4 linked regions of the Anolis sagrei genome follow. The protein of the gene in region 2 interacts with the protein of the main gene of each other region in a biochemical or structural test. Links are inferred from orthologs where the notes say so. Each region holds a gene or a part of one and is shown on either strand. Other genes may lie near its edges. The genes, in order: GRB10, RET, TLN1 and LRRK1.

The links.
Region 1: the proteins of RET (region 2) and GRB10 form a complex in vitro, tested with the Homo sapiens proteins (2 studies listed by BioGRID). The link is inferred for Anolis sagrei from reciprocal best matches to the Homo sapiens genes RET and GRB10.
Region 3: the proteins of RET (region 2) and TLN1 interact in a surface display test, tested with the Homo sapiens proteins (2 studies listed by BioGRID and IntAct, with this or other methods). The link is inferred for Anolis sagrei from reciprocal best matches to the Homo sapiens genes RET and TLN1.
Region 4: the proteins of RET (region 2) and LRRK1 form a complex in vitro, tested with the Homo sapiens proteins (2 studies listed by BioGRID and IntAct, with this or other methods). The link is inferred for Anolis sagrei from reciprocal best matches to the Homo sapiens genes RET and LRRK1.

The regions. Positions count from the first base shown.
Region 1 is NC_090026.1:61,950,796-61,958,097, forward strand, and holds the start of GRB10 (growth factor receptor-bound protein 10), read left to right. Parts: upstream 1-4,287; 5' UTR 4,288-4,611; intron 4,612-5,161; exon of another isoform or gene 5,162-5,272; intron 5,273-7,302.
Region 2 is NC_090023.1:154,104,461-154,112,285, forward strand, and holds the start of RET (proto-oncogene tyrosine-protein kinase receptor Ret), read left to right. Parts: upstream 1-4,801; 5' UTR 4,802-5,265; coding exon 5,266-5,314; intron 5,315-7,825. UniProt on the Homo sapiens protein: Receptor tyrosine-protein kinase involved in numerous cellular mechanisms including cell proliferation, neuronal navigation, cell migration, and cell differentiation in response to glia cell line-derived growth family factors (GDNF, NRTN, ARTN, PSPN and GDF15).
Region 3 is NC_090022.1:302,405,522-302,412,472, forward strand, and holds the start of TLN1 (talin-1), read left to right. Parts: upstream 1-3,937; 5' UTR 3,938-4,025; intron 4,026-6,951. UniProt on the Homo sapiens protein: High molecular weight cytoskeletal protein concentrated at regions of cell-matrix and cell-cell contacts. Involved in connections of major cytoskeletal structures to the plasma membrane.
Region 4 is NC_090029.1:13,127,600-13,134,537, forward strand, and holds the start of LRRK1 (leucine-rich repeat serine/threonine-protein kinase 1), read right to left. Parts: upstream 3,018-6,938; 5' UTR 2,862-3,017; intron 1-2,861.

The sequences.
Region 1 (7,302 bases), on a different chromosome or scaffold from region 2:
CATCTTGTGTTCCCAGAGCGCAGTCTGTTCAGTGCCTTCCAAGTCACCCAGTCTTCTGTGTGCCCAGGAGGGTGTTTCTCATTCGGTATCAGCCACTGATTGAAGTTCTGGGTTTCAGCCTGCCACTTTTGGACTCTCGCTTGCTGAGGTGTTCCTTCGAGCATCTCTGTAGATCTTAAGAAGCTGTTTCTTGATTTAAGACGTTAGCATGCTGGCTGATATCTGAACAGAGGATGGGCCGAAGCTGACAATGCCTTGGTCTTTTCATTACTGGTTGCTACTTCCTGGGGGATATCAGGTGGTGCAATACCAGCTAAACAGTATAATTTCTCCAGCGGTTTAGGAGACATCCTATGATAATGTGGCATATCTCATTAAGAGCCACATCCACTGTTTTAACACGGTGGAATGTATTCCACACTGGGCAGCAAAGTAGCAAAAGCAGATGTCTTCACTGTAACTGGTTGTGATCCCCAGGCTGTGTCAGTCAGCTTTTGTATGATATTATCTGTATCACACACTTTTTGCTTGATAATCAAGCGAGTGATTGTGAGTGGAAACTTGTGAGAAATCTGTGCAGCCTGCCAACTAGTGGTTATTTTAGGAATTTACATGAATCAAGGAGAAAAAAATAGAGTCGTGCCAACTTGAAGCTATAAGCCAGGCATGAAAAATGTTGGAAGTTGTCTTCCATGCTGCAGGATCAAATATTCTGCCAAGATTTCATATGTATCCATCTCATTGGTATGCAAATTGGCTTTTGCCTTTGACACAGAGTAAAAATGATATGCAATTGTTTGGAAAGAAATCTATGATTTATGATCAGTAAAGGTTTCATTTATATGTACCAGGCATGAGCAAACTTTGGCCCTCCTCCAAGTGTTTTGGACTTCACCTCCTACAGTTTTGAATTGTGTGAGTTGAAGTCCAAAACACCTGGAGGACTGAAGTTTGCCCATGCCTGCTCTATAAGCTAGCTAGCATTGCCCCCCCCCCCCCCCCGGATGTGCTATGGGAAGTTGTTGCCAACTATGAGAGAAATAAGGTTGAACACTGTGAAAGCCATCCACTGCATGGCTCTCAGCCTCCTCCCAGTAGGCTCAAATCAAGAAAAAGTTTCAGGAGAACCACTACTCGTCCTAATGTTCCTCCAGCAACAGGCTATTCCAGTTAGGTGGCCCCCCACGAGGGTCTTCCTCCAGGGGCAAACCAAGAATGGACAAGTCGGAAGTCCCTGAACAGACTCAGAAGTGGAGTGGGCAGATCAAAAGACAACATGGCTAAATGGCACAACCTAGAAGAATCCTCCACCTTGTGTGATTCGAGGAGCAGGACAAACAACTCAGCACCTATATGCAGGGGCGGCTCAACCCATTACGCAAAGTAAGCATTTGCAGTATAGTTGATTTTGCCCAGGGGAGCTCTTGAGGCGCTCTTGGGGGGGGGGGGGGGAATAGATCTTGACATATGCGAGTTGTAGTTACTGGGATGTATATTTATTTGTCGTGTCAGAACAACCAGTCAAATTATATAACATTTCTAACAGAACCAGTCAAATTATATTACATTTCTAACAGAACTGGGATGTATAGTTTACCTACAATCAAAGAGCATTCTGAACTCCATCGATGATGGAATTGAACCAAATATGGCACACAGAACTCCCACAACGAACAGAATATATATATATATATATATATATATATACCAGTGATTGGTTGGGGGGGGGGGGCACCAAAATACTGTTTGCTTACCGTTGAAAATTACCTAGGGTCGCCTCTGCCTATGTTAGTCCACAATGCCCTGCCTCATGCACAAAGGAAGAACTGTTTAAAACCACAGATAATGCAGTAGCTGTTGCCTGTTTTTGGTCTAAAATTATTTAGCCGTGTTGGAAATTACAACCTTCTTAAAACCTCCTCTAGTAAATTGATCATCTACAATCCTGTTGCTTCCTCATTGGATGTATGTTCTGCTATGCAGCTTTCTTTCTTTGCTCTATGTTTTTCCTGAGAAGTTGTGGGAGGGGCTGCAGACCACATGATCCACTCTGGGCCGAGCACAGACTTCTTTAGAGTTTTGGACTGCTCAGATTGCATACTTGCAAATGCTTGTGGATTATTATGAGAGGTGTTCTGACCGGATCGGACAGAAACTATCTCAAACATATCTGTAACTGACTGATAAATTGTGTATGCTGAACAAATGAAGGTTGTGATTAAACCAGATGTTATTATTATTATTTTTTTACCAAAGTCTACTTTAATGTGTCTCTAGTATGCATACTATAAAACAAGTTGTTTATGGGAGAGTAGACCCTTTGGAAGAACTGCTATTTTAATGCACCGGCATATTCTCTGTTTCCTATCAGATCAGAGACAAAGGTCACTCAGTCTAATAACTGAAGCCAATCACCTTGCATATTACCTTTGGTTGCATTCCATTTGAGAGGATTCTACTCAAATGAGTTTTTGGCTCTTTTCTAAAACAGTGTTTCTCAACCTGGGACCCCTGCAGAGGTTGCGAGGGGGTTTCAGAAGGGTCATCAGAGATCATAAGAAAACATATTTCTGATGGTCTTAGGAATCTTTGGCAGAGAAGGCTGAAGAACTCTCTGCCTGTTCTTCTCTTCCTTTTTGGAAACAGACAGCGAATTCACCCACCAAAAGCTGTGATTGGCCAGCCTCTCAGCCAAGGGGAGGGCTGTTCCTGGAGGACCATCATAGAATCAAAGAGTTGGAAGAGATCTCATGGGCCATCCAGTTCAACCCCCTGCCAAGAAGCAGGAATATTGCATTCAATTCACCCCCGACAGATGGCCATCCAGCCTCTGTTTAAAAGCTTCCAAAGAAGGCGCCTCCACCACCCTCCGGGGCAGAGAGTTCCACTGCTGAATGGCTCTCACAGTCAGGAAGTTCTTCCTCGTGTTCAGATGGAATCTCCTCTCTTGTAGTTTGAAGCCATTGTTCCGCGTCCTAGTCTCCAGGGAAGCAGAAAACAAGTTTGCTCCCTCCTCCCTGTGGCTTCCTCTCACATATTTATACATGGCTATCATATCTCCTCTCAGTCTTCTCTTCTTCAGGCTAAATATGCTCAGCTCCTTAAGCCTCTCCTCATGGGCTTGTTCTCCAGACGCTTGCTTCAGTGCTGGTGGTCTTTACTTCTTCTGCACGCTGACGTAACCCTTTCCTTACTTCTGATAAGAGACATTTTGGATATCAACTCCCTGATTTATTAATCATTGGCCATGTAACGAGGGCTTCTACATCAAAGGTAGTTAGAGAAGTACTAATTAGGAGCCACATCCACTGTTTTAGCATAGTGAGATGTGTTCCACACTGGGCATGCATACTCAGCAGCAGACTAGCACAGCGCAAGGGCAGATGTCTTCACTGTATCTGGTTGTGATCCCCAGGTTGTGCCAGTCAGCTTTCGTATGATATTGTTTTTGGCACCCACTTTTTGCTTGATGTTCAGGCAGTGCTTCTTGTAGGTAAGAGCACGATCCAGGGTGACTCCCAGGTATTTGGGTGCCCTATGCAGTCAGTGGTTCCCTTGATGTATGGCAGGAACACTTTTCCTGTGGGTGGATCTTCGTCTTTATTCTCGTGACTTGTTCTTGTTCTAGCAGCTCTACTTCAAACAAGGACATCTAATCACCTCTCAACAAAAGATTGCTCCAGGCACTGCCAGGCCATCAAAGGCTAATCAAGGTGGTCAGTTGAAACATTCACACTTAGCTCCAGCAAACAAGAGTTCTTTGTCTCTCCCTGGTCATGCCACAGATATATAAACCCATTTTCCTATTTCCAACAGACCTCACTACCTCTGAGGATGCTTGCCATAGATGCAGGCGAAACGTCAGGAGAGAATGCCTCTAGACCATGGCCATACAGCCCGAAAAAACCTACAACAACCCAATGATTCCGGCCATGAAAGCCTTCGATAATACTCTCTGCTTCATTCGGAAAATGCTGCACTCGCAGAGCTCAGGCGGTGTTGTATTGAGGTATAGAGCTAGGGCGGTGTAGACATTTCCCCTGGCGGAAAAGGGGCGGGGAAAGTTGGAAAGAGGCATATTTCCTCAGAAGCCACTCCGCCATGCCCCTTGAGGGACCCAGGCCCTCTTTTCCCGACGTCTGAGGGACTTCCCGAGCGAGCCTGAATCCCGAGCCAAACTTGGCCTCGGCTCCGGCGCGAGCTGCGACTGCGTGCGCGAGCGGCAGAGGGAGAGAGGGAGGGACCGTGGGCGGGGCTAGCGCGCCCCGGAGGGGGAGGGGCCATCGCCTGAGGAGAGAGAGGGAGCGAGAGAGAGGGAGAGAGGGGTGGGCGAGTCAGCTGGCGCGAGGCTTCCCAGGCGGAACCTTCCTTGAGGAGGGGCGCCAGACCAGACGGTTCCCTCCGTCTCCTTCCCCTTCGTTTCCCCAGGAAAGAGTTCCCGGAGAGGGCAGGCGCCCTTCCTTCCCCTCGCGCTGCCAAGTCCAGGCTGCGAGAAACTTAATCAGCTCAGGAGAGGGAGGTGCAGGCGGAAAGGGAGGCCACGAGGAGGAGGAGGAGCGGGAGCCGAGCGCGCCGCTCACTCCCTCAATCACTCTCTGACTGACTTTGCAGGTAAGTCACCCGTCGCGGAGGGGCTTGACAGGAAGCAGGAGGGGCGCGCGCGCGCAGGGCGTCGTGGCCCTTTCCCTCCTCGCGCGCAGTTCGCACGGGACGAACTTTGGGAGTTGTTTCTGCGGCTCGCGAGAGGACGCCAGGCGCGTGCCTTCTCGGGAGCAAAGAGAGAGAGTGTGTGTGTGTGCGCGCGCTCGGGGAAAGGGTGGTTCTCAACTTGCCCCCCTTCCTTTCCCTTCCCTTGCGCTTCGTGAGGGGCGTGCAAACTTCCCTTCCCGGCCGGAGCTTGGGTGCCCTCTCCACATTGCATCATAAACCAGGGTGGAGCCAGCCTTTTTCCTCCTCCTCCTCCTCTCTCCCTTCCTCCCCCTCCCCTCCCCCTCCGCCCCTGGCCTTAAGCAACGAGCTCTGAGGGGCTTGCCCGGCTCTGCCAATCAGGGGCGGCGGTGGCGGGCGCGCGCTCCCTTTCGCCTTTCTCCTGAAGGGAGGGAATGCGGCGCGCGCGCGTGTACTGAGGGGAGGTGAGGGGAGGGGGGAATCGAATGTGGGCACTTCCCCGGATTTAAGGAGGAAGGACGGAGCCAGGACTTCTGCACCCACCCGGTAATGCAATGCACGCCTCGTATAGCTGTTCTTTCAACTTTGTAAAGGCGATGCCAAGGTGGGTCTGCTTGGTCTCGCTCCCATTGTGCTGGTGGCGTCTTCCCCCAAAAGAGTGAGGAATGCTTTGCAAAACTTTCCAGCGTGCGGGGCTGGAAGAGCCAGGGCAAACTCTGAGGCAAGGCCTGGGCTGCTTTGATCACCCCCGAGGAGGATTGGCCACCTTCCCTCCAAGAGTGCAGGGAAAAAAGGAACCACTGGTTGCTTTGAGGGAGGAATCTTCTTCTTTCTGGTCCTGTGACAGCTGTTGATTCCTTCTGCCTTCGCTTTGGTGTCTGTGTCTCCTTCGAGCCCCTGTTTCTGAATTCTCCCACTTGTTACATGCTGATTTCTACTTGTTGCATCCTTTGGTCCTTCCACTTAAAGAGAGAGCAGCCCAGTCTCTTCTTTTCACTCTTTCTGTGTATTTTGCATACACTGCCTGAAGTGAAGATGACCAGTGCAGGTTAACATTTATTCCTGACTGAGAGCCGTTCATCTGTGGAACTCTCTGCCCAGGCATGTAGCCGGGCATGTAGCCGAAAATCTCATGGTGGTCCGCAAGAAGGCCTTACTGGTACATTATTTAAACCAGTGATTCTCAACCTTCTTAATGTCACGACCCCTTAATACAGTTCCACATGTTGTGGTGGCCCCCAAGCAAAAAATTATTGTTATTGCTACTTCATATCTGCAACTTTGCTACTGTTATTATGTAAATATCTGATATGCAGGATGTATTTTCATCACTGGATCAAATTTGAATACTGGTGGGGTTGGGGGGATTAATTTTGTCATTTGGGAGTTGTAGTTTATAGTTCACCTACAATCAAAGAGCATTCCGAACTCCACCAACGATGGAATTGAAGCAGACTTGGCACACAGAACTCCCATGACCAACAGAAAATACTGGAAGGGTTTGGTGGGCATTGACCTTGAGTTTGGGAGTTGTAGTTCACCTACATCCAGAGAGCACTGTGGACTCAAACAATGATGGATCTGGACCAAACTTGGCATGAATACTCAGTATGCCCAAATATGAACACTGGTGGAGTTTGGTGAAAATAGAGTTTGCCATTTGGGAGTTGTAGTTGCTGGGATTTATAGTTCACCTACAATCAGAGAATTATGAACTGCACCAATGATAGAATTGGGTGAAACTTCCCACACAGGACCCCCATGACTAACAGAAAATGTTGTGCTTTCTGATGGTCTTTGGCGACCCTTTTAAAACCCCCTCGTGACCCCTCCAGGGGTCCTGACCCCCAGGTTGAGAACCACTGATTTAAACTGTTATGTTATTCATATCATGATCTGATCACCATGCTCAATATATCCCATATGCATGGGGTTATTGGAGTAGCAATACAAAAGGTTTGCTAGGGTAGACCCTCTTTCACTCAGACTCAGCCCCCTGCCACGAATCAAACTCCCCCCCCCCCCCCCGAATCAAAATCCTGGCTACGGGCCTGTCTGGGGCAGAGGCAGTCCCGTAGCCAGGATTATGTTTCGGGGGGAGCTGAGCTTGATTCGGGGGGGGGGGGGGCGAGTCTGAGTGAAAGAGGGTCTACCCTAGCAAACCTTTTGTAAAGACCCTCTTTCACTCAGACTCAGTCCCCCCCCCCCCCCTTTGAATCAAACTCAGCTCCTGGCTACGGGCCTGTCTCTGCCCCAGGGAGGCCTGTAGCCAGGATTTTGATTCGGGGAGGGGGGGGGCTGAGTCTGAGTGAAAGAGGGTCTACCCTAGCAAACCTTTTGTATTGTAACACCAATACCCCCATATTGAGCATGGTGATCAGATCGTGATATGAATAAACATAACAGTTTAAATAATGCACCAGTAAGGCCTTCTCGAGGGCCACCATGAGAATTTGGGGGGGGGGGGCGGCTAAAGCCCCTCAAACACCCCCCCCCCCCGGCTACATGCCTTGGCCCCAGAGTGTGGTGGAGGCTCCTTCTTTGGAAGCTTTTAAACAGAGGCTGGATGGCCATCTGTCATAGAATCCTAGAGTTGGAAGAGACCTCATGGGCCATCCAGTCCAACCCCCCTGC
Region 2 (7,825 bases):
ATTATAATTTGAAAAAAATATATGAATGAATTCCTATGCACACTGCACACATCTTAATTGTAGTGCAAAAAAAAAAAAAACAACACTTAAAAACAACACATTAATTAAAATGAAGAACAATTTTAACAAATATAAACTTATTAGTATTTCAATAGGAAGTGTGGGCCTGATTTTGTCTGATGAGATAGGATTGTTGTTGCTGTTGGGTACTTTCAAGTCATTTCAGACCCTGAGTGAGGGCAGGGTTAATGACCTTGGAGAGCCATATCCGGCCCCCGGGCCATAGTTTAAGGACCCCTGGGTTAGAAAGACATGGATGTTGCACTCTTTGGCAGAGAACTACAACTCACAGAATTCCATTGAATTCAGCCAGGGCAGTTCAAGTGGCAGCAAACTGCATTAAATGGACAGTGTAGATGCACAGATGGGGCGGGGGGGGGGGGGGGGAAGAACCATGCATATTTCTGAATGAAAGCAATGAGATAGCAGGTTGAATAGCTAAATTTGTGCGCCAGTTGCACCCCTACCTTGGGAAGTCTGATCTGGCCACAGTGGTCCACGCTCTTGTTACATCCCGAATAGATTACTGCAATGCGCTCTACGTGGGGTTGCCTTTGAAAACTGTTCAGAAACTTCAACAGGCGGCAGCTAGATTAATCACCGGAGCGTCATACAGGGAACATACCACCCCTCTGTTGTGTCAGCTCCACTGGCTGCCGATCCACTTCCGAGCACAATTCAAAGTGCTGGTTTTGACCTATAAAACCCTATATGGCTCCGGCCCAGCGTACCTGTCCGAACGTATCTCCTTCTATGTCCCACCTCGGAGTTTAAGATCTTCTGGGGAGACCCTGCTCTTGGCCCCGCCTCTATCACCAGTGAGGCTGGTAGAGACGAGGGACAGGACCTTCTCAGTGGTGGCCCCTCGCCTGTGGAACTCACTCCCTGGGGAAATTAGGTCCTCAACATCCCTCTTCTCCTTCAGAAGGAAGCTGAAACATGGATATGGGACCAGGCTTTTGGGTAATCTGGCACACTGACAAGGTAATGACGACCAGAACTTGGAAAGGACTATGGTAATGCTGAATGGACTTACAGATTTTAGAACTTGGTGAACGTTGGCCACTAGATTGGCTTTTTAGTTGTTATTGTATTAATTGAGTGTTTTAACTATTGTGGTTATTGTTGTTATGTATTTTATCTGTTGAACTGTTGGCATCGAATTGTGCCAGTTGTAAGCCGCCCTGAGTCCCGTCCCCCCCCCCCCCAGGAGGTTGAGAAGGGCGGGGTAGAAGTGCCCGAAATAAATATAAATAAATAAATAAACTACAAGCAAGCAACTCCTGGGGGTATGTGTGTGTGTGTATATATTATGTATATATATAGATAGATATAGATATGGGGAGATATATAGATATGGGGAGATATATATATATATATATATATATATATATCCCTATCAATGCATTCATGCACCCATCAATTCACAGGAGTTGCTTGCTTGCAGTTTAGGAATTCAATTGCAGTATATAAGTGTATGTCTGTTGGAAATGCTTCCCTCTCCCCCTTGAGCTACAAGTTTTGGCTTTGTGTTGTGTGACTCTGAGCTGCAGTGCTGGGACCCCCAACGCAGAAAGTTCATCAAACTCTTTCTTGCAAAGTAATAATCCTAATTAAAAAAAACCTTCTCCCAGTGGGACCGATGCTTTGTGGGCTGGTGTTGGGAAGCTTGTTGTGCTCAAGAAGGGGAAGCGTCTGCGGCGTGAAAAAGCTTCCCTTCCGCATGCGTCTTGAGCTGAGAGGCTTTTAGCCGGGTATTGATGGCTTGCTGGGAAAGCATATGGGTTGCTCCAAGTTTTTTCCATCCTCATTTGTGGTTCAAATATTGTGCTCCTAAGCGAGAGGCATCTCACGTCGAAGGATACTTTGGGTGCCGGCCAAGCAGCTTGCCTCGCCTTCAGCGTCTTCTTTTCACTGTCAAAGGCAGGCAGAGAAGGGGGCGGCTAGTACCTAAATACCCCCCAAAGGCCACAGATTCCCATGTGGAAGGGCCCTTAGATAACCCAGTTCAAACCAATACTGTGGATCAGGGATCCTCAAACTAAGGCCCGGGGGCCGGATGCGGCCCTCCAAGGTCATTTACCTGTCCCTTGCTCAGGGTCAACCTAAGTCTGAAATGACTTGAAAGCACACAACAACAACAACAACAACAACAACAACAACAACAATTCTATCTCATCAACCAAAAGCAGGCCCACACTTCTCATTGAAATACAAATAAGTTTATATTTGTTAAAATTGCTCTTCGTTTTAATTATTGTATTGTTTTAAAGTGTCTTTTGTGCTACAAATAAGATATGTACAGTGTGCATAGAAATTAATTCATGTTTTTTTCAAATTATAATCCGGCCCTCCAACAGTTTGAGGGACTGTGACCTGGCCCTCTGTTTAAAAAGTTTGAGGACCCCTGCTGTGGATTATCGGCCATGAGATTCTGGATTATATGATTCATTGAATCATTGAATCAAAGAAGCAAAGAGTTGGAGGAGACCTCATGGGCCATCCAGTCCAACCCCCTGCCAAGAAGCAGGAATATTGCATTCAAATCACCCCTGACAGATGGCCATCCAGTCTCTGTTTAAAGGCTTCCAAAGACAGAGCCTCCACCACACTCCGGGGCAGAGAGTTCCACTGCTGAACGGCTCTCACGGTCAAGAAGTTCTTCCTCATGTTCAGGTGGAATCTCCTTTCTTGTAGTTTGAAGCCATTGTTCCGCGTCCTAGTCTCCAGGGAAGCAGAAAACAAGCTTGCTCTCTCCTCCCTGTGCCTTCCTCTCACATATTTATACATGGCTATCATATCTCTTCTCAGCCTTCCCTTCTTCAGGCTAAACATGGCCAGCTCCTTAAACCGCTCCTCATAGGGCTTGTTTTCCTGACCCTAGGGCTGGAATTCTCCAGATTCCAAGGGTCCCTTCACACAGCTGTGTAAAATCCCATATTATCTGCTTTGAATTGAGTTACACAGCAGTGTGGACTCAGGGCACTTTCACACAATCATGTAACACAAGATGTCAAGGTAGACAATTCCACAATATCTGCATTGAACTGGGTTATCTGAGTCCACACTGCTGCATATCCCAACTGAAAGGAGATAATATGGGATTTTATTCAGCTGTGTGGAAGGGGCCCCAGACAACCCAGTTCAAGACAGATTTTATGGGATTCTCTGCCTTAGTATTATTTATTTATTATTTACTAGCCATCCCCTGCCATGCATTGCTGTGGCCCAGTCTGTTGATCTGGAAAATAAAGTAATGAGAAAGTGTTGGTTTCTAATATATGTAATTTCTTTATGCTTGTGAATAAACAGTATTTCTTGCTGTTTCTTTGTCAGTGTTGATGTGGAGAGTGTCTGGTTTGTCCACCCTGGAACATGCAACATATCATTGTCCTTCTTTAAGGGTCCCTTTCAAATCTATGATACTATATCTCTATGTGTGTTGATCATATCTATCATCTATCTATCTATCTATATCTATGGCTGGATGGCTCTTTGTCAGGAGGACTTTGATTACCCTTTCTTGCCCTGATGAAGGAAGTTGGATTGGATGGCCTTAAGTATTTCCTGTTGGTCATAGGGGTTCTCTGCGGGAAATTTGCCCCAATTCTGTTGATGGAGTTCAGAATGCTCTTTGATTGTAGGTGAACTATAAATCCCAGCAACTACAAATCCTAAAAGTCAAAATCCATTGTTTTGAGTGATGGTCACTCCTTGGGATAGTAGGTATATTGTTTCCAAATTTGGTGGCAATTCACCCAGTGGTTTTTTAGTTATGTTAATCCCACAAACAAACATTACATTTTTATTTATATACTAGCCGACCCCTGCCACACATTGCTGTGGCCCATTCTGGTGGTCATGGGGGTTCTGTGTGGGAGGTTTGGCCCAATCTATTGTTGGTGGGGTTCAGAATGCTCTTTGATTGTAGGTAAACTATAAATCCCAGCAACTGCAACTCCCAAATGTCAAGATTCTATTTTCCCCGAATTCAACCAGCATTCACATTTGGGCATATGGAGTATTCAAGGCAAGTTTGGTCCAGATCCATAATTTAAGGTTGATAATCAGTGCACAGTGATCTCTGGATGTAGGTGAGCTACAACTCCAAAACCAAAGGACACTGCCCACCAATCCCTTCCAGTATTTTCTGTTGGCCGTGGGAGAACCGTGTGCCATGTTTGGTTCAATTCCATAGTTGGTGGGGTTCAGAATGCTCTTTGATTGTAGCTGAACTATAAATTCCAGCAACTACAACTCCCAAATGACAAAATCAATTTTTTTTGAATGAAGGGCATACATTGGGTTGTTAGGTGCCTTGTGTTCAAATTTGTTGTCAATTCGTCCAGTGGTTTTTGAGTTCTGTTAATCCCACAAACGAACATTATATTTTTATTTATATAGAAGATTTACGACATTAGGGGCAACGATTCGATGCCCAGTCTGGGTCGAATGGCTGTGTGGAAGGGCCTCATGACCCAAGCTTGGGCAACACCGCCCTGCGGCATAGAGATGGCCCATGCAAAATCCGAAGGGCCTCTTTCACCCATCAGCGTTGACCCTGTATGTAGGTGTCCACATCCTGGAAGGTGCGCGCGCTTGGGACTTCCCTGCTGCAATTCAGAGGAGGGGGCCTGGCGCGAGCCCTCCCCTCCTTCCTGCTCCCTGCCGCGCGCGCTGCACTCGTACTGGCAGTGGCTCCACTCCTTTTTCCAAGCCTCGCGCGCCCTCCTCCTCTTCCTCTCCTCCTCCCCGCTTTCTTGAGCGCGTGCTGCACTTTACTCATTAACTACAGCGGCGGGGCGCAAGTTGCCCATTGGCTGCCGGGAGAGCGCCCTCAGCAGCCGAAGAAGAGCTCATTGGGACCGAGGCGGCGGCGACAGAGGAGCATCCTCGACGCCTCTTGTTTGTTTCGGGGCGGGAAAAGTGCTTCTGGTGGCGGAGAAGAAGAAGAAGCGCTCGCGTCGGACCTTGTTTCCTCCCTCTTTCTTCTCCAGAACGCGACGAAAGCGCTTCTCCGCCGGGCGCCTTGTCTCGCGCCGAGACGGACTGATTGGCGTTTCTCTTGCGACGCGAAGCCATGAGGCGCCCGGCCTGAGGGACAGGCAATCTCTCTCTGGCACGCGCGCGGACTCGGGGACCCGTTCCCACTTTGGAGAGGAGCTTCGAAGGGGAATCCCTGGGATTATCGCGTGGAGGGAAAGGATGCCGCCCGCCCGATGGGCCCTCGGGGTGGTGGCCCTGCTGTGTCAGGGTAAGTGGCTCACAGAAGGAGAGAGAGAGAGGCCTGAGGTTCATCCCTCTCTTGGGTCGTCTCCTTGCCATGCCCCTCCCCACGATTTCTGGGGCTCAGCAGCCAAACACCTGCTTAAACGAGCGCACACAAAAAGGTTCCCCTTCCTCTTGGCTTGTTTGTGGTCTTCGACGTTCTTGGATGGGGAGCAAACCTCAAAGTGCAAACCCAAGAGCCTGTCCGCTACTTACGAACAAGATCGGCGCTCTAGGTTGAATTTGTAAGCCGGAAGTGGTTCGATTACAATGTTATGTGAGTTTTCCTGGCTGTCTGGCCATGTTCCAGAAGCATTATCTTCTGACGTTTTGCCCACATCTATGGCAGAGGTTGGGGGATCTGTTGGAAACTAAGCAAGTGAGGCTTATCTAATCTATCTATCTATCTAAATAAATAAAAATGTAATGTTTGTGGGATTAACATAACTCAAAAACCAGTGGGCGAATTGGCACCAAATTTGGACACAAGACACCTAACAACCCAATGTATGTCCTTCACCAAAAAAAAAAAAAAAGATTTGGGAGTTGTAGTTGCTGGGATTTATAGTTCACCTAAAATCAAAGAGCATTCTGGGTTTGGTGAGCACAGGCATGTAGCGGGGGGGGGGGGGGGGAGCTTGGAGGGCTTCAGCCCCCCCCCCCCCCGCCCCCGAAATTCTCATGGTGGTTCGAGAAAAGGCCTTATTGGTGCATTATTTAAACTGTTATGTTTATTCATATCTTGATCTGATCACCATGCTCAATATATCCCATATGCATTGGGGTATTGGGGTAACTACACAAAACGTTTGCTAAGGTAGACCCTCTTTCACTCAGACTCAGCCCCCCCCCGAACCCCAGCCCCCCCCCCCCCCGAACCCCCTCTGAAAAAAACTCACCCCCCCCCCCCCATGGCAGAGGTTGAGGGATCTGTTGGAAACTAAGCAAGTGAGGTTTATCTATCTATCTACCTGTATAAATAAAAATGTAATGTTCGTTTGTGGGATTAACATAACTCAAAAACAAGTGGGCGAATTGGCACCAAATTTGGACACAAGACACCTAACAACCCAATGTATGTCCTTCACTAAAAAAAATGATTTGGGAGTTGTAGTTGCTGGGATTTATAGTCCACCTACAATCAAAGAGCATTCTGGGTTTGGTGAGCAGTGTCCTTTGGTTTTGGAATTGTAATTCACCTACATCTAGAGAGTACTGTGGACTCAAACAATCATCATCATCATCATCCTCTACATCATCTAATAACTTATTAATCGCCCTCCATCCGAGAATGCTCAAGGCGATGATCTGGACCAAACTCTACATGAATACTCAATATGCCCAAATGTGAACACTGGTGGAGTTTGGGAAAAATAGAAACTTGACATTTGGGAGTTGTAGTTGCTGGGATTTGTAGTTCACCTACAATCACAGAGCATTCTGACCCCACCAACGATAGAATTGGGCCAAACTTCCCACACAAAACCCCAATGACTACCAGAGTGGGCCACAGCAACGCGTGGCAGGGGACGGCTAGTATATAAATAAAAATGCAATGTTCGTTTGTGGGATTAACATAACTCAAAAACCAGTGGGCTAATTGGCACCAAATTTGGACAGCATACACCTAACAACCCAATGTATGTCCTTCACTCATTTTTTTTTATTTTGTCATTTGGGAGTTGTAGTTCTTGGGATTTATAGTTTACCTACAATCAAAATATTCTGAACTCCACCAATGACGGAATTGAACCAAAGGTGACACACAGGACTCCCATGAGCAACAGAAAAGACTAGAAGGGTTAGGTGGGCATTGACCTTGAGTTTGGGAGTTGTAGTTCACCTACATCCAGAGAGTACTGTGGAGTCAAACAATGATGGATGTGGACCAAACTTGGCACAAATATTCCATATGCCCAAATATGGCTGTGGAACACCCTTCCCACAGAAATTAGATCGGCCCCCTCCTTGTTCACATTTTTGAGGAAAGTGAAGACCTGGTTGTTTGAGCAGGCATTTGAATAGGCAGTGTAACTAATATAGAAATATGGAACATTTGGATGATGAGACTGGATCTTGATTTTAACTATGAGACGAGATGAGATGTTATAATGTTTATTGATTGTTATAATGTTATTCTTTTAGCTTGTTTTTAACTGTTTTTTATCATGTTTAAGTATTGTACTTGCTTTGTTAACAGCTCTGAGTCGCCCTGAGGGCTGACAAGAGCGGAATACAAATATAGTAAATAAATAAATAAATAAAAAATATCAACACAGATGGAGTTTGGGGAAATAGACCTTGACATTTGGGAATTGTAGTTACTGGGATTTATAATTCACCTGCAATCAAAGAGCATTCTGAACCCCACAAACGACAGAATCTGGGCAAACTTCCCACACAGAATCCCCATGAACAACAGAAAATACTTAAGGCCATCCAGTCCAACTCTCTTCACCAGGGCAAGAAAATGTAATCAAAGCCCTCCTGACAAAGA
Region 3 (6,951 bases), on a different chromosome or scaffold from region 2:
GAGGCAGTAAAAGACACAAAGTAATACTAGGAAGAGAAAAATTTACTATTAAGTGATACTTTATTGGGTTTTCTCAGCCTGTCACTGAACATTGAGAAAACCAAGGTGCTTTTCCAGCAGTCGCCAGCCAACCTCTCTCCAATGCCAGAGATACAGCTTAATGGTGTAACATTAGAAAATGTTGACCATTTCCGCTACCTTGGCAGCCACCTCTTCACCAAAGTCAACATTGACACCGAAATACAACACTGCCTGAGCTCTGCGAGTGCAGCATTTTCCCGAATGAAGCAGAGAGTGTTTGAGGACCGGGACATCCGTAGGGAGACCAAGGTGCTTGTCTATAAAGCCATTGTCTTCCCAACCCTGCTCTATGCCTGCGAAACGTGGACTGTCTACAGACGTCACATGCAATTCCTGGAACGATTCCATCAGCGCTGCCTCCGGAAAATCCTGCAAATGTCTTGGGAAGACAAGCGGACAAACGTCAGTGTGCTGGAAGAAGCAAAGACCACCAGCACTGAAACGATGGTCTTCTGCCATCAACTCCGCTGGGCCGGCCACGTTGTCCGGATGCCTGACCACCGTCTCCCAAAGCAGTTGCTCTACTCCGAACTCAAGAACGGAAAACGGAATGTTGGTGGGCAGGAAAAGAGATTGAAAGATGGGCTCAAAGCCAACCTCAAAAACTCTGGCTTAGACACTGAGAACTGGGAAGCCCTGGCCCTTGAGCGCTCCAACTGGAGGACAGCTGTGACCAGCAGTGCTGCAGAATTTGAGGAGGCACGAATGGAGGGTGAAAGAGAGAAACGTGCCAGGAGGAAAAAGGCGCGTCAAGCCAACCCCGACCGGGACCGCCTTCCACCTGGAAACCAATGCCTTCACTACGGAAGAAGATGCAGAGCAAGAATAGGGCTCCACAGCCACATACGGACCCACAAGGAAATCCAGAATGGAAGACCATCTTACTCGTCCAACGAGGGATCGCCTAAGTAAGTAAGTACTTTATTGGGGTATTTGATACAATGTTAGGAAGGGGAAGAAAGTGAAGCAAAAAGAAGGTTTCTTGATTGTAGCTGCTGCTGTGGCCACGTTCCATAGAAGTTGGCCCAAGCAGACGATAGAGAACTGTGGAACTCTCTGCTGCAAGTCAGAGTTCTGGGTTCGTTGACCTCAGGTACAAAGATGTGCCAATGCACAACAGATATAGCAGATCTTCAGAAGATCCTCCAGAGCCCACTACTGTCACCCTGGGTGCCAGGACTGTCTCTTAAGACAGTCCGTTTCAAAAGTCCTACTAGAGGTCATATCATTATTTTAATGGCTTTGCATTACTGCAAAACAGCGCAAAGGGATGACATTGGGATGCATTGGGAAATAGCCGAGAAAAGATTAGGAAACTCGGCAGGACCTTTGGCCGAGTGCATGTTAGCCCTGGACTGCTTTAGAGATGTATTACTTACTTACTTACTTAGGCGATCCCTCGTTGGCCGAGTAAGATAGTCTTCCAGGATCAGAACTCTTGTGAGTCTGTAGGTGGCTGTGGAGCCCTATTCTTGACCTGCATCATCTCCCGCAGTGAGGCCATTGGTTTCCGGGTGGAAGGCGGTCCCGGTCAGGGTTGGCTTGACGTGCCTTCCTCTTGGCACATTTCTCCCTTCCGCCCTCCATTCGTGCCTCTTCAAATTCTGCAGCACTGCTAGTCACAGCTGACCTCCAGCTGGAGCTCTCAAAGGCCAGGGCTTCCCAGTTCTATGTGTCTATGCCAGAGTTTTTAAGGTTGGCTTTGAGCCCATCTTTCAATCTCTTTTCCTGCCCTCCAACATTCCGTTTTCCGTTCTTGAGTTCGGAATAGAGCAACTGCTTTGGGAGATGGTGGTCGGGCATCCAGACAACGTGGCCAGTCCAGCGGAGCTGATGGCGGAGGATCATCGCATCAATGCTGGTGGTCTTTGCTTCTTCCAGCACGACATTTGTCTGCCTGTCTTCCCAAGAGATTTGCAGGATTTTCCGGAGGCAGCACTGATGGAATCGTTCCAGGAGTTGCATGTGACGCCTGTAGACAGTCCACGTTTCGCAGGCATAGAGCAGGGTTGGGAGCACAGTAGCTTTATAAACAAGCCCCTTGGTATCCCTATGTATATCCAAGTCCCCAAACACTCTCTGCTTCACTCGGAAAAATGCTGCACTCGCAGAGCTCAGGTGGTGTTGCATTTTAGTGTCAATGTTGACATCTGTAGACTGTCCACCTTTCGCAGGCATATAGCAGGGTTGGGAGGACAATAGTTTTATAGACAAGCCCCTTGGTCTCCCTACGGATGTCCCGGTCCTCAAACACTTTCTGCTTAATTCGGGAAAATGCTGCACTCGCAGAGCTCAGGCGGTGTTGTATTTAGGCGTCGATGTTGACTTTGGTGGAGAGGTGGCTGCCAAGGGAGCGGAAATGGTCCACATTTTCTAATGTTACACCATTAATCTGTATCTCTGGCATTGGGGAGGGGATGGCTGGTGACTGATTGAAGAGCACTTTGGTTTTCTCGATGTTCAGTGACAGGCCGAGCTTCTTATAAGTTTCTGCGAAGGTGTTTAGAGTGGCTTGTAGGTCTTCTTCTGAATGCGCACAGACGACGTTGTCATCAGCATACTGGAGTTCTATAGCAGATGTTGTTGTAACCTTGGTTTTGGCTTTCAGTCTGCTGAGGTTGAATAGCTTGCCATCTGTCTGAGAGATGATTTCCACTCGGGTGGGAAGCTTCCCATCAACAAGGTGAAGTATTATAGCAATGAAGATGGAGAATAAAGTTGGGGCAATAACACATCATCCCTGTTTGACACCCGATTCCACCTTAAATGGGTCACTTTGGGAGCCATTGCAGTGCCAAAACTGTTGCCATCATGTCATCATGGAGGCGCCGTGATGACATGATGGCATGAAAAAATTTTGTGAGTGGAGCTGACACAGCAGGGGGGTGGTGTGCTCCCTGTATGTCGCTTTGGTGAGCAATCTGGCTGCCGCTCGCTGGACCAGTTGAAGTTTCCGAACAGTCTTCAATGGCAACCCCATGTAGAGTGTATTGCAGTAGTCTATTCGGGGGGGGGGGGGATGTAACAAGAGCGTGGACCACTGTGGCCAGATCATATATATATATTAAGGCTGGGTAACAACGGAAAAATTTGTTTCTAAACTCGTTTCGTTTTTAGGGTTTTTTTGCGTTTCGATTTTTAAAAGAATTCCGAAATTTTTCTTTAAAAAAATTCGAAATTTATGAAATTTCGTAAATTTCAGATTGATTAGTTAATGGCGGACGCAATTGCGCAATATGCAAAAAAAACCCCTCCAAATATGCTAAAAATATGCTGAAAAATGCGAAAATAATTACGAAACAATTTCAAAACAATTTCGAAACTATTATGAAACAATTACGAAACAAATTGAAAAAATCGTTTCGATTTTTAATTACTCCTGCATGGCTCAATATCGGATCGTAAGCTAATTTAAATATGAATTAATAACGAATTACGAAATTAACGAACGAAACCGCCCAGCCCTAATATATATATATATATATATATATAGATAACATAAATATTTAATAATTATAATAATGTAATGTAAGAAAATAATAAATTAATAATATGATATAACAAATACAATATTTAATCATAATAATATTTTCCTTTTTCCTTTTCCTCTTTTTTTTCCCCTTTAAAAGCTGTTGCTAAATAAATACATGTTGCAGTACCCCAAAAGTCCCTCTAGGGGGCGGCCGTTTCCTTCCCCTTTTCCCCCACCCGCAAACAAGATGGCGCTGTGGTCTGCCCGCCGCCCCCCCCAGCATGGCGGCGAGGAGGCGGGCCTCTCCCAAGATGGCGGGAGGGAGGCGGCGGGAGGCTCTGGGCATGCGCGGGGCAGGGAGGGAGGGAGGCGGGGCGCCAGGAGGCGGGGCTTGAGGGAGAGGCTGCGCTGGCCACGCCCCTTCGGCCAGAGCCAAAGCCGACGCCTCAAGAGAGAGAGAGAGAGTCCCCAGGTAGGAAGGGAGGAGGGGAGGGGAGGAGGGGAGGGGAGGGGGGCTTTGGGGGGCGTCCTCAGGCCTATTTTGGGGTTGGGGGTGCCTCTCTCTTTGGGGTGAGGAGGGGGCGGGGGTCCCTCTCTGAGGGGGGGGGGGCTTTGGGGGGTCCAAAGAGCCATTCAGGGGTCACTAAAGTCAGGCTGGGGCTTTCAGGCAGGCCTGGGCCCACTTGGGCCTTCCCTTCAAGTGTTTGGGACTACAACTCCCAGAATTCCTCACAGACTCAAGCCCTTTCCTCCCCCCCCCCCCTCCCAGCCACTTAAGCAACTAGCAGAAACTTTTTGGAATAAACTCAGTAATAATAGTAATAATAATAATGTGTGTTTCAAACAATAATAATAATAATAAAGTTTATTTGTAGCCCACCCTACCTCCCCAGGTGGACTTATGACAGAATGTATAATAATAATAGTAATAATAATAATAGTTTCTGTTTCAAATAATAATAATAATAATAATAATCTTCATTTCTAGCCCACCCTACCTCCCCAGGTGGACTTATGAAAGAATGTATAATAATAATAATAATAATAATAATAATTTGTGTTTCAAATAATAATAATAATAATAGTTTGTGTTTCAAATAATAATAATAATAATAATAATAATAATCTTTATTTGTAGCCCACCCTACCTCCCCAGGGGGACTCATGAAAGAATGGGGGCACTTTCTAGAATAATAATAATAATAATAATAATAATAATTTGTGTTTATAATAATAATAATAATAATAATTTAAAAAACTTTATTTGTAGCCCCCCCAGGGGGACTCATATAATAACAATAATAATAACAATAATAATAATAATAATAATAATAATTTGTGTTTCAAATAATAATAATAATAAACTTTCTAGCCCACCCTACCTCCCCAGGGGGACTCATGAAAGAATAGAATGGGGGCACTTTCTATAATAATAATAATAATAATAATAATAATTTCTGTTTCAAATAATAATAATAATAATAGTAATAAACTTTATTTGGAGCCCACACTACCTCCCCAGGGGGACTCGTGAAAGAATGGGGGCACTTTGTATAATAGTAATAATAATAATAATAATAATAATAATAATTAATATTATTATGGAACAAACTCCCAAAGGAGGTAAGATCTGCTGCCTTATGACCTTTAGAAAAAAATTAAAATCATGGTTCTGGGACACTTTCTATTATTATTATTATTTGAAACACAACAAGATGAGTCCACAGCAGACACTCTGCTGGCTGTTGTAGTGGATCACACGTCGGACACTTCCCAGGTGTCTAGGACTGTGTGATGTATCGGCGAATAATGTGTGCATATCCCAATAAGGTGGCCTTTTGCATCTGGCAGGTGATAATTTTGTCAGCACCAATTGTGTTTAAGTGCACGCCAAGGTCTTGAGGAACTGCACCCAGCGTGCCAATCACCACTGGGAACCCCTTGACTGGCTTGTGCCAGAGTCTTTGCAGTTCATAGAATCCAAGAGTTGGAAGAGACCTGGGCCATCCAGTCCAACCCCATTCTGCCAAGAAACAGGAATATTGCATTCAAAGCACCCCTGACAGATGGCCATCCAGCCTCTGTTTCAAAGCTTCCAAAGAAGGAGCCTCCACCACACTCCGGGGCAGAGAGTTCCACTGCTGAACGGCTCTCACAGTCAGGAAGTTCTTCCTCATGTTCAGATGAAATCTCCATGTAAAGTTCAATCTTTAAATCCTCATATCGTGTCAGCTTTTCCATTTATTATTATTATTATTATTATTATTAGAAACACAACAAGATGAGTCCACAGCAGACAAGATCACTCTGCTGGTTGTTGTATTGGATCACACATCGGACACTTCCCAAGGGTCTAGGACTGTGTGATGTCTTGGCAAATAATGCATGCAGATCCCAGTAAGGTGGCCTTTTGCAGCTGACCGGTGGTGATTTTCTCAGCGCCGATTGTGTTTAAGTGCAGGCCAAGGTCTTGAGGCACTGCACCCAGTGTGCCAATCACCACTGGGACCCCCTTGACTGGTTTGTGCCAGAGTCTTTGCAGTTCGATCTTGAAATCCTCGTAGCATGACAGCTTTTCCAGTTGCTTCTCTTCAATCTTGCTGTCGCCTGGGATTGCAACATCAACGATCCATACTTCATTTTTTAATATGATCATGAGGTCAGGAGTCTTGTGCTCCAAAACTCTGAATTTGGAAGTCCCAGAGTAGCTTGACGTGTTCATTCTCTGTTACTTTTTCTGGCTTGTGATCCCACCAGTTCTTGTCGCTGGCAGATGGTGTTTGTGGCACAAGTTCCAATGGATCATCTGAGCAAGGGTGTTGCGCCTCTGCTTGGAGTCTGTCTGCGCGATCTTCTTGCAGCATCTGAGGATGGGATCTATTGTTTCATCTGCTTCCTTGCAGAGTCTACATTTGGGATCTGTCATTGTCGACTTTTCATTTATTATTATTATTATTATTATTATTATTTATAACCCGCTTTATCTCCCCAAAGGGGACTCAAAGCAGCTTGACATGAAACCATTAGTATATAATTTAAAATATAATAATAATAAAATTTTATTTCTATCCCATCTTATCTCCCGAATGGGAACTCAGAACGGTTCAATCAATCAATCAATTGAACTTTATTTATATACCACCACCCCATCTCCTCATGGGTACTAGAGGTGACTTACAACATAAAAGGCAACCATTCAATGCCATAAAAATACACCATAAAATTTAAAATACAGATAAATAGTTGCTGCTGTGTGTTGTGAACCCCTCTGATTCCCCATTGGGAAGATAGGGTGGGATAGAAATAAAGTTTTTATATTGTTATTATTATTATTATTATTATTATTATTATTATTGTCCCTTGGTGGCACGATGCATTAAACCCTTGTGATGACAGGA
Region 4 (6,938 bases), on a different chromosome or scaffold from region 2:
ACTGCGAGAAGATCCAACCAGTCCATCCTCCAGGAAATAAAGCCTGGCTGCTCACTGGAGGGAAGGAGACTAGAGACAAAGTTGAAGGAGGAGACAGCAAAGCCTAGAGAAGACAATGATGCTGGGGAAAGTGGAAGGTAAAAGGAAGAGGGGCCGACCAAGGGCAAGATGGATGGATGGCATCCTTGAAGTGACTGGACTGACCTTGAAGGAGCTGGGGGTGGTGACGGCCGACAGGGAGCTCTGGCGTGGGCTGGTCCATGAGGTCACAAAGAGTCGGAGACGACTGAACGAATGAACAACAACAACATACAGGATAAAACACATACATACAAATATTAATAAATTAACATGAGTCAAATGCTCTAGTAAAAAGCCAGGTCTTAAGTGATAGGATAAAATGCCCTAAGTGACGCATGGCTCTCATATAGGGTGGCAAGGAATTCCATAAGGCAGGGGCAGAAATGGAGAAAGCCCATCTGCGTCTGGTGCTTTCCAAATGCACTTCTCTAGGACCCGGTATATAGAGCAAATCGCGTTGAGATTGTCGTAGCAACCTCCAATGATGGGAGAAGGAGAGACGGTCTCTAAGATACAATGGACCCTGGCCATATAAGGTTTTAAAGGTCAGGACCAGCATCTTATACAAACCATGATAATCAATTGGAAGCCAATGTAGATGCCGCAGCACTGGAGTTATATGACATTTCAAAGGCATTTTTGTGATTAACCTGGCCTCAGCATTCTGTACAATATGGAGCTTTCGGGTCGTAGACATCGGAAGGCCAACATATAAGGCGTTGCAATAGTCCAGCTTAGATGTGACCGTGGCATGGACGACTGTTGCCAGCGCCTCATCCGATAGGTAAGGTAACAATTGCCTCGCTTGTCGTAGATGGAAAAAGGCCTGTTTGCTGGCAGCAGCGGCCTGAGTTTCCATTGTCAACTGCGAATCCAAAACGACACCTAGGCTTGTCGAAGGCTTTCATGGCTGGAATAACTCAGTTCTTGTGGGGTTTTTTCGGGCTATATGGCCATGTTCTAGAGGCATATAGCCATATAGCCCGAAAAAACCCACAAGAACTGACACCTAGGCTCTTAACGGTAGGCGGAGATAGAGCAGCACCATCAAAGGTGGATAGCAAATGGGTCAGACCTATCGAGCGGCCATGCCAGAGAATCTCAGTCTTTGCCGGGTTCACCTTCAGCCTACTAGCACGTAGCCAGTTCGACAGAGCCTCCAGACATAAGGTGAAATTGTCTGGTATTGTCGTTGCTCCCGGCTCCAAGCGCAACAGGAGTTGGGTGTCATCCGCATATTGATAGCAGTCCAAGCCAAATCTCCAAGCCAAACTGGCAAGGAGTCTAACGTAGATGTTGAAAAGAAGAGGGGAGAGAACTGCACCTTGGGGTACCCCGCATTCATAGAATCAAAGAGTTGGAAGAGACCTCATGGGCCATCCAGTCCAACCCCCTGCCAAGAAGCAGGAATATTGCATTCAAATCACCCCTGACAAATGGCCATCCAGCCTCTGCTTAAAAGCTTCCAAAGAAGGAGCCTCCACCACACTCCGGGGCAGAGAGTTCCACTGCTGTACGGCTCTCACAGTCAGGAAGTTCTTCCTAATGTTCAGATGGAAGGGGGGAACTTTGGAGGGGGGAACTTTTGGAGACTTGATCCATATATTCCATGCACTGACTCCGGTTAATGAGACATGCTGCATTATCATGGGGTGTCTGCGCCCTACACCACTGGAGAAATTACACTGTTTAGCTGGTATCGCACCACCTGACATCCGCCGGGAAGTAGCAGCAAATAGTGAAAGGACCAAGGCTGTGACATCTCCAGCTCTTCCCTTGTTTGGGTATCAGTCAGCACGTCAATGACTTAAATCAAGAAATATCTTTCTAAGATCTACAGAGACACTCGCTGGAACACCTCAGCAAGCGAGAGTCCAAAAGTGGCAGGCTCAAACCCAGAACCTCAACCAATGGCTGATACCAAATGAGAGACTCCCCCCTGGGCACACAGAAGACTGGGCGACTTGGAAGGCGCTGAACAGACTGCGCTCTGGCATCACGAGATGCAGAGCCAAACTCAAGAAATGGGGCCACAAAGTTGAATCCTCGACATGCGAGTGTGGAGAAGAGCAAACCACTGACCACCTGCTGCAATGCAACCTGAGCCCTGCCACATGCACTATGGAGGACCTCCTTGTGGCAACACCAGAGGCACTCCAAGTGGCCAGATACTGGTCAAAGGACATTTAATCAACTACCAAGCTTGCAAACTTTGTGTTTTGTTTTGTTTGATTGTTAAAAAATGGACACAGCATATTATTTGAGAACACAGAAATGCTGGACCACTCTCACAACCACCCTGTCAGACTGCACAGAGAAGCCGTTGAAATCCACTAGAAGCATGTGGACAATTTCAACAGAAAGGAGGAAACCATGAAAATGAACAAAATCTGGCTACCAGTATTAAAAAAAAACTCTAAAATTACAACAGCAAAACAACAGAGGGAAAACAATCAGGGACAGCTAATCACCTCTCAACAAAAGATTGCTCCAGGCACTGCCAGGCCATCAAATGCTAATCAAGGTGGTCAGTTGAAACATTCACACCTAGCTCCAGCAGACAAGAGTCTTTTGTCCCACCCTGGTCATTCCACAGATATATAAACCCATTGTCCTAGTTCCAACAGACTTCACTACCTCTGAGAATGCTTGCCATAGATGCAGGCGAAACGTCAGGAGAGAATGCCTCTAGAACATGGCCATATAGCTCGAAAAAACCTACAACAACCTAGTACAGGGGAAGTTTGCAAACTTTGCAACACTGTATCCTTAATGCTCACCCCGCCAGGACCGGGAAAAGTGGCTTTTCTGGGAGTTTTCTTTCCCTCCGCTCCCGGGTTCCAGGTGCGGTTGGTTGTCTTCGGAGGAAAGGAGGAGGAAAAAAGAAGGAGGAAGGAAAGAAGGAAGGAAGGACGAAAGAAAGAAAGAAAGGGGTGGCCCAAGCAAAGCGGAAGAGCCGGCTCGAGCGCTCCCTCTGGAGGCCAGAAGCGGAATCGCGGCGCTCGTGGCTCAGAAGCTGCTGCTAGTAGTGCTTCCTCTCCTTTGGACGAATTCTAATCTCCTTTTCCTTCTTCCTGCTTCCTTCCCCTTCTCCACCTCCACTGTTACTACTTCTCTCTCTTCCCTATTAGTACCGTTTCCCGCACTACTATTATGTACTATCTCTCTTCTTTGCCTTTCACTACTACTACTTAGAATCATAAAATCATAAAGTTGGAAGAGACCTCATGGGCCATCCAGTCCAACCCTATTCTACCAAGAAGCAGGAATATTGCATTCAAATCACCCCTGACAGATGACCATCCAGATATATTCCACACTGGGCATGCGTATTCAGCAGCAGAGTAGCCAAACAAAAGGGCAGATGCCTTCACTGTGTCTGGTTGTGACCCCCAGGTTGTTCCCATCAGCTTTCATATGATATTCTTTCCAGCATAGAATCCTAGAGTTGGAAGAGACCTCATGGGCCATCGAGTCCAACCCTATTCTGCCAAGAAGCAGGAATATTGCATTCAAAGCACCCCTGACAGATGGCCATCCAGCCTCTGTTTAAAAGCCTCCGAAGAAGGAGCCTCCACCACACTCCAGGGCAGAGAGTTCCACTGCTGAGCGGCTCTCACAGTCAGGAAGTTCTTCCTCATGTTCAGATGGAATCTCCTCTCTTGTAGTTTGAAGCCATTGTTCCGTGTCCTAGTCTCCAGGGAAGCAGAAAACAAGCTTGCTCCCTCCTCCCTGTGGCTTCCTCTCACATATTTATACATGGCTATCATATCTCCTCTCAGCCTTCTCTTCTTCAGGCTAAACATGCCCAGCTCCTTAAGCCGCTCCTCATAGGGCTTGTTCTCTAGACCCTTGATCATTATAGTTGCCCTCCTCTGGACACATTCCAGCTTGTCAATATCTCTCTTGAATTGTGGTGCCCAGAATTGGATACAATATTCCAGGTGTGGTCTAACCAAGGCGGAATAGAGGGGTAGCATGACTTCCCTGGATCTAGACACTATGCTCCTATTGATGCAGGCCAAAATCCCATTGGCTTTTTTTGCCACCACATCACATTGTTGGCTCATGTTTAACTTGCTGTCCAAAAAGACTCCAAGATCTTTTTCACACGTACTGCTCTCGAGCCAGGCATCGTCCCCTATTCTGTATCTTTGCATTTCGTTTTTCCTGCCTAAGTGGAGTATCTTGCATTTGTCCCTGTTGAACTTCATTTTGTTAGTTTTGGGCATTCATCTCTCTAATCTGTCAAGATCGTTTTGAATCCTGCTCCTGTCCTCTGGAGTATTGGCTATCCCTCCCAATTTGGTGTCGTTTGCAAACTTGATGATCCTGCCTTCTAACCCTTCATCTAAGTCATTAACAAAGATGTTGAACAGGACCGGGCCCAGAACAGAACCTTGCTTATGGCACTCCACTTGTCACTTCTTTCCAGGATGAAGAGGAAGCATTGGGGAGAATCACCCCCTGGGTTCGTCCACTTAACCAATTTCAGATCCACCTCACCGTAGTTTTGCCTAGCCCACATTGGACTAGTTTCCTTGCCAGAAGGTCATGGGGGACCTTGTCGAAGGCCTTCCTGAAATCCAGGTACTTGCGTTTCTTCTTCCTGTCTCTCAACCCCTCCTTGTTCTTTCCTTTCCACCAAAAGTACTATTACAGTACTAGTTCTTCCAACTTCTTTAATCACTGCTACTTGTTCTTCTGTCTCTTCATCTTTTTCTACTACTAGTAGTAACGACTTCTTTCTCCTGCTCCCCTACTACTACCTAATCTTCCTCCTTTCCTTCCTCCAGTACTACTATTTCTCCTCTTCTTCTTTATCCCCTCCTCCCTTACTACTACTATTCTTATTCTTTTTCTTCTTTCTTCTCTGCCATGATGAATGTGTCTTCATCTTCCTGCACTACTAGTAGGTTCTACCTCTCATCTTTTGCCTTCCGCTACTAGCTTTTTCCTCTTCCTGTCTCTCATTGTCTTTTTCTTTCCACCAAGCGTACTACTACTTCTTCCACCTCTTTCTCCTCCTCTACTTTGCCTTCTGCCTCCTCATCCTTTTCTACTACTACTAGTACTACCTCCTTTGCTACTACTTGTTCTTCCTCCTGCTCCCCTACTACTGCTACCTGGTCTTCCTCCTTTCCCTCCTCCAATAACTACTGTTTCTCCTCTAGTTCCTTATCCCCTTTCTCCCTTACTACTGCTCTCATTTCTTTTCTTCCTCCTCCTCTATGACTAATACATGTTCCTTTTCCTGTATTACTAGTAGGTACTAACTCCTATTTGTTCTTCCACATCTTTCTCCTCTACTACTACTTATTCTTCTGTCTTTTAATTCTTTTCGTCTACTACTGCTTTTTCTTTCCAAAGAAGTCTCAAAGTGGCTACTACTAGTAGTACTAACTCCTTTGCTACTACTTGTTTTTTCTCTTGTTCCCTACTACTTCTGCCTGGTCTTTTTTCTTTTCTTCCTCCAGTACTGCTACTATTTCTCCTCCTCCTCCTCTTCACCCCCCTCCTCCACTACTTCTAGTTGTTCTTCCTTCTGTTCTTCCTTGTCCATTACTGCATTTACTCAAGTCCAATATAGCATCAAATCTAATGCACACCTCAATTTCCAAAACCCTGAAACCCAAAACAGGATCCATCATATTCCACGAATCTAACGTGCACCCTAATTTTGGGAAGGTAATTTAGTCCAAAAAAGGTGAGCATTCGAATGGAGTAAATGCAGTATTTCTCCTCCTTCTCTTCTTTATTCTCTTTGTCTGCTACTACTTCCTTTTCATGGCATAAAAATGGGGAAAGCCTGTTGCGAATGCCTCTGGAAATGTCATAAAGACAGTTTCGGGTTTTCCCCAAAATTACACTTAAACCTCCTTTGAAATGAGACCTGGACAGACACATCCTGTTTTTTGTTATTATTATTATTTCAAGGGCTGCAAAAACAGAACAGGAACTGGTTGCAAAGTAATCAGACTAGGACACGGAACAATGGCTTCAAACTACAAGAAATAAGAGTCCATCTGAACATGAGGAAGAACTTCCTGACTGTGAGAGCCATTCAGCAGTGGAACTCTCTGCCCCGGAGTGTGGTGGAGGCTCCTTCTTTGGAAGCTTTTAAACAGGGGCTGGATGGCCATCTGTCAGGGGTGATTTGAATGCAATATTCCTGCTTCTTGGCAGGGGGTTGGACTGGATGGCCCATGAGGTCTCTTCCAACTCTTTGATTCTATGATTCTAAACCCTTGTGCCAACAGAAGTGAAGACTGACAGGTCATAGGTTCGAATCCGAGGAGAGCGTGGATGAGCTCCTTCTGTCAGCTCCAGCTCCCCATGTGGGAACATGAGATAGCCTCCCATAAGGATGGTAAAACATCAAAACATCCAGGCAATGTCCCCTAGGCAACGTCCTTGCAGACGGCCAATTCCCTCATACGAGTAGCGACTTTCGGTTTCTCAAATCGCTTCTGACACACACAAAAAAATCCCACTGAACATAGAATCATAGAATCAAAGAGTTGGAAGAGACCTCATGGGCCATCCAGTCCAACCCCCTGCCAAGAAGCAGGAATATTGCATTCAAATCACCCCTGACAGATGGCCATCCAGTCTCTGCTTAAAAGCCTCCAAAGAAGGAGCCTCCACCACACTCCAGGGCAGAGAGTTCCACTGCTGAACGGCTCTCACAGTCAGGAAGTTCTTCCTCATGTTCAGATGGAATCTCCTCTCTTGTAGTTTGAAGCCATTGTTCCGCGTCCTAGTCTCCAGGGAAGCAGAAAACAAGCTTGCTCCCTCATCCCTGTGGCTTCCTCTCACATATTTATACATGGCTATCATATCCCCTCTCAGCCTTC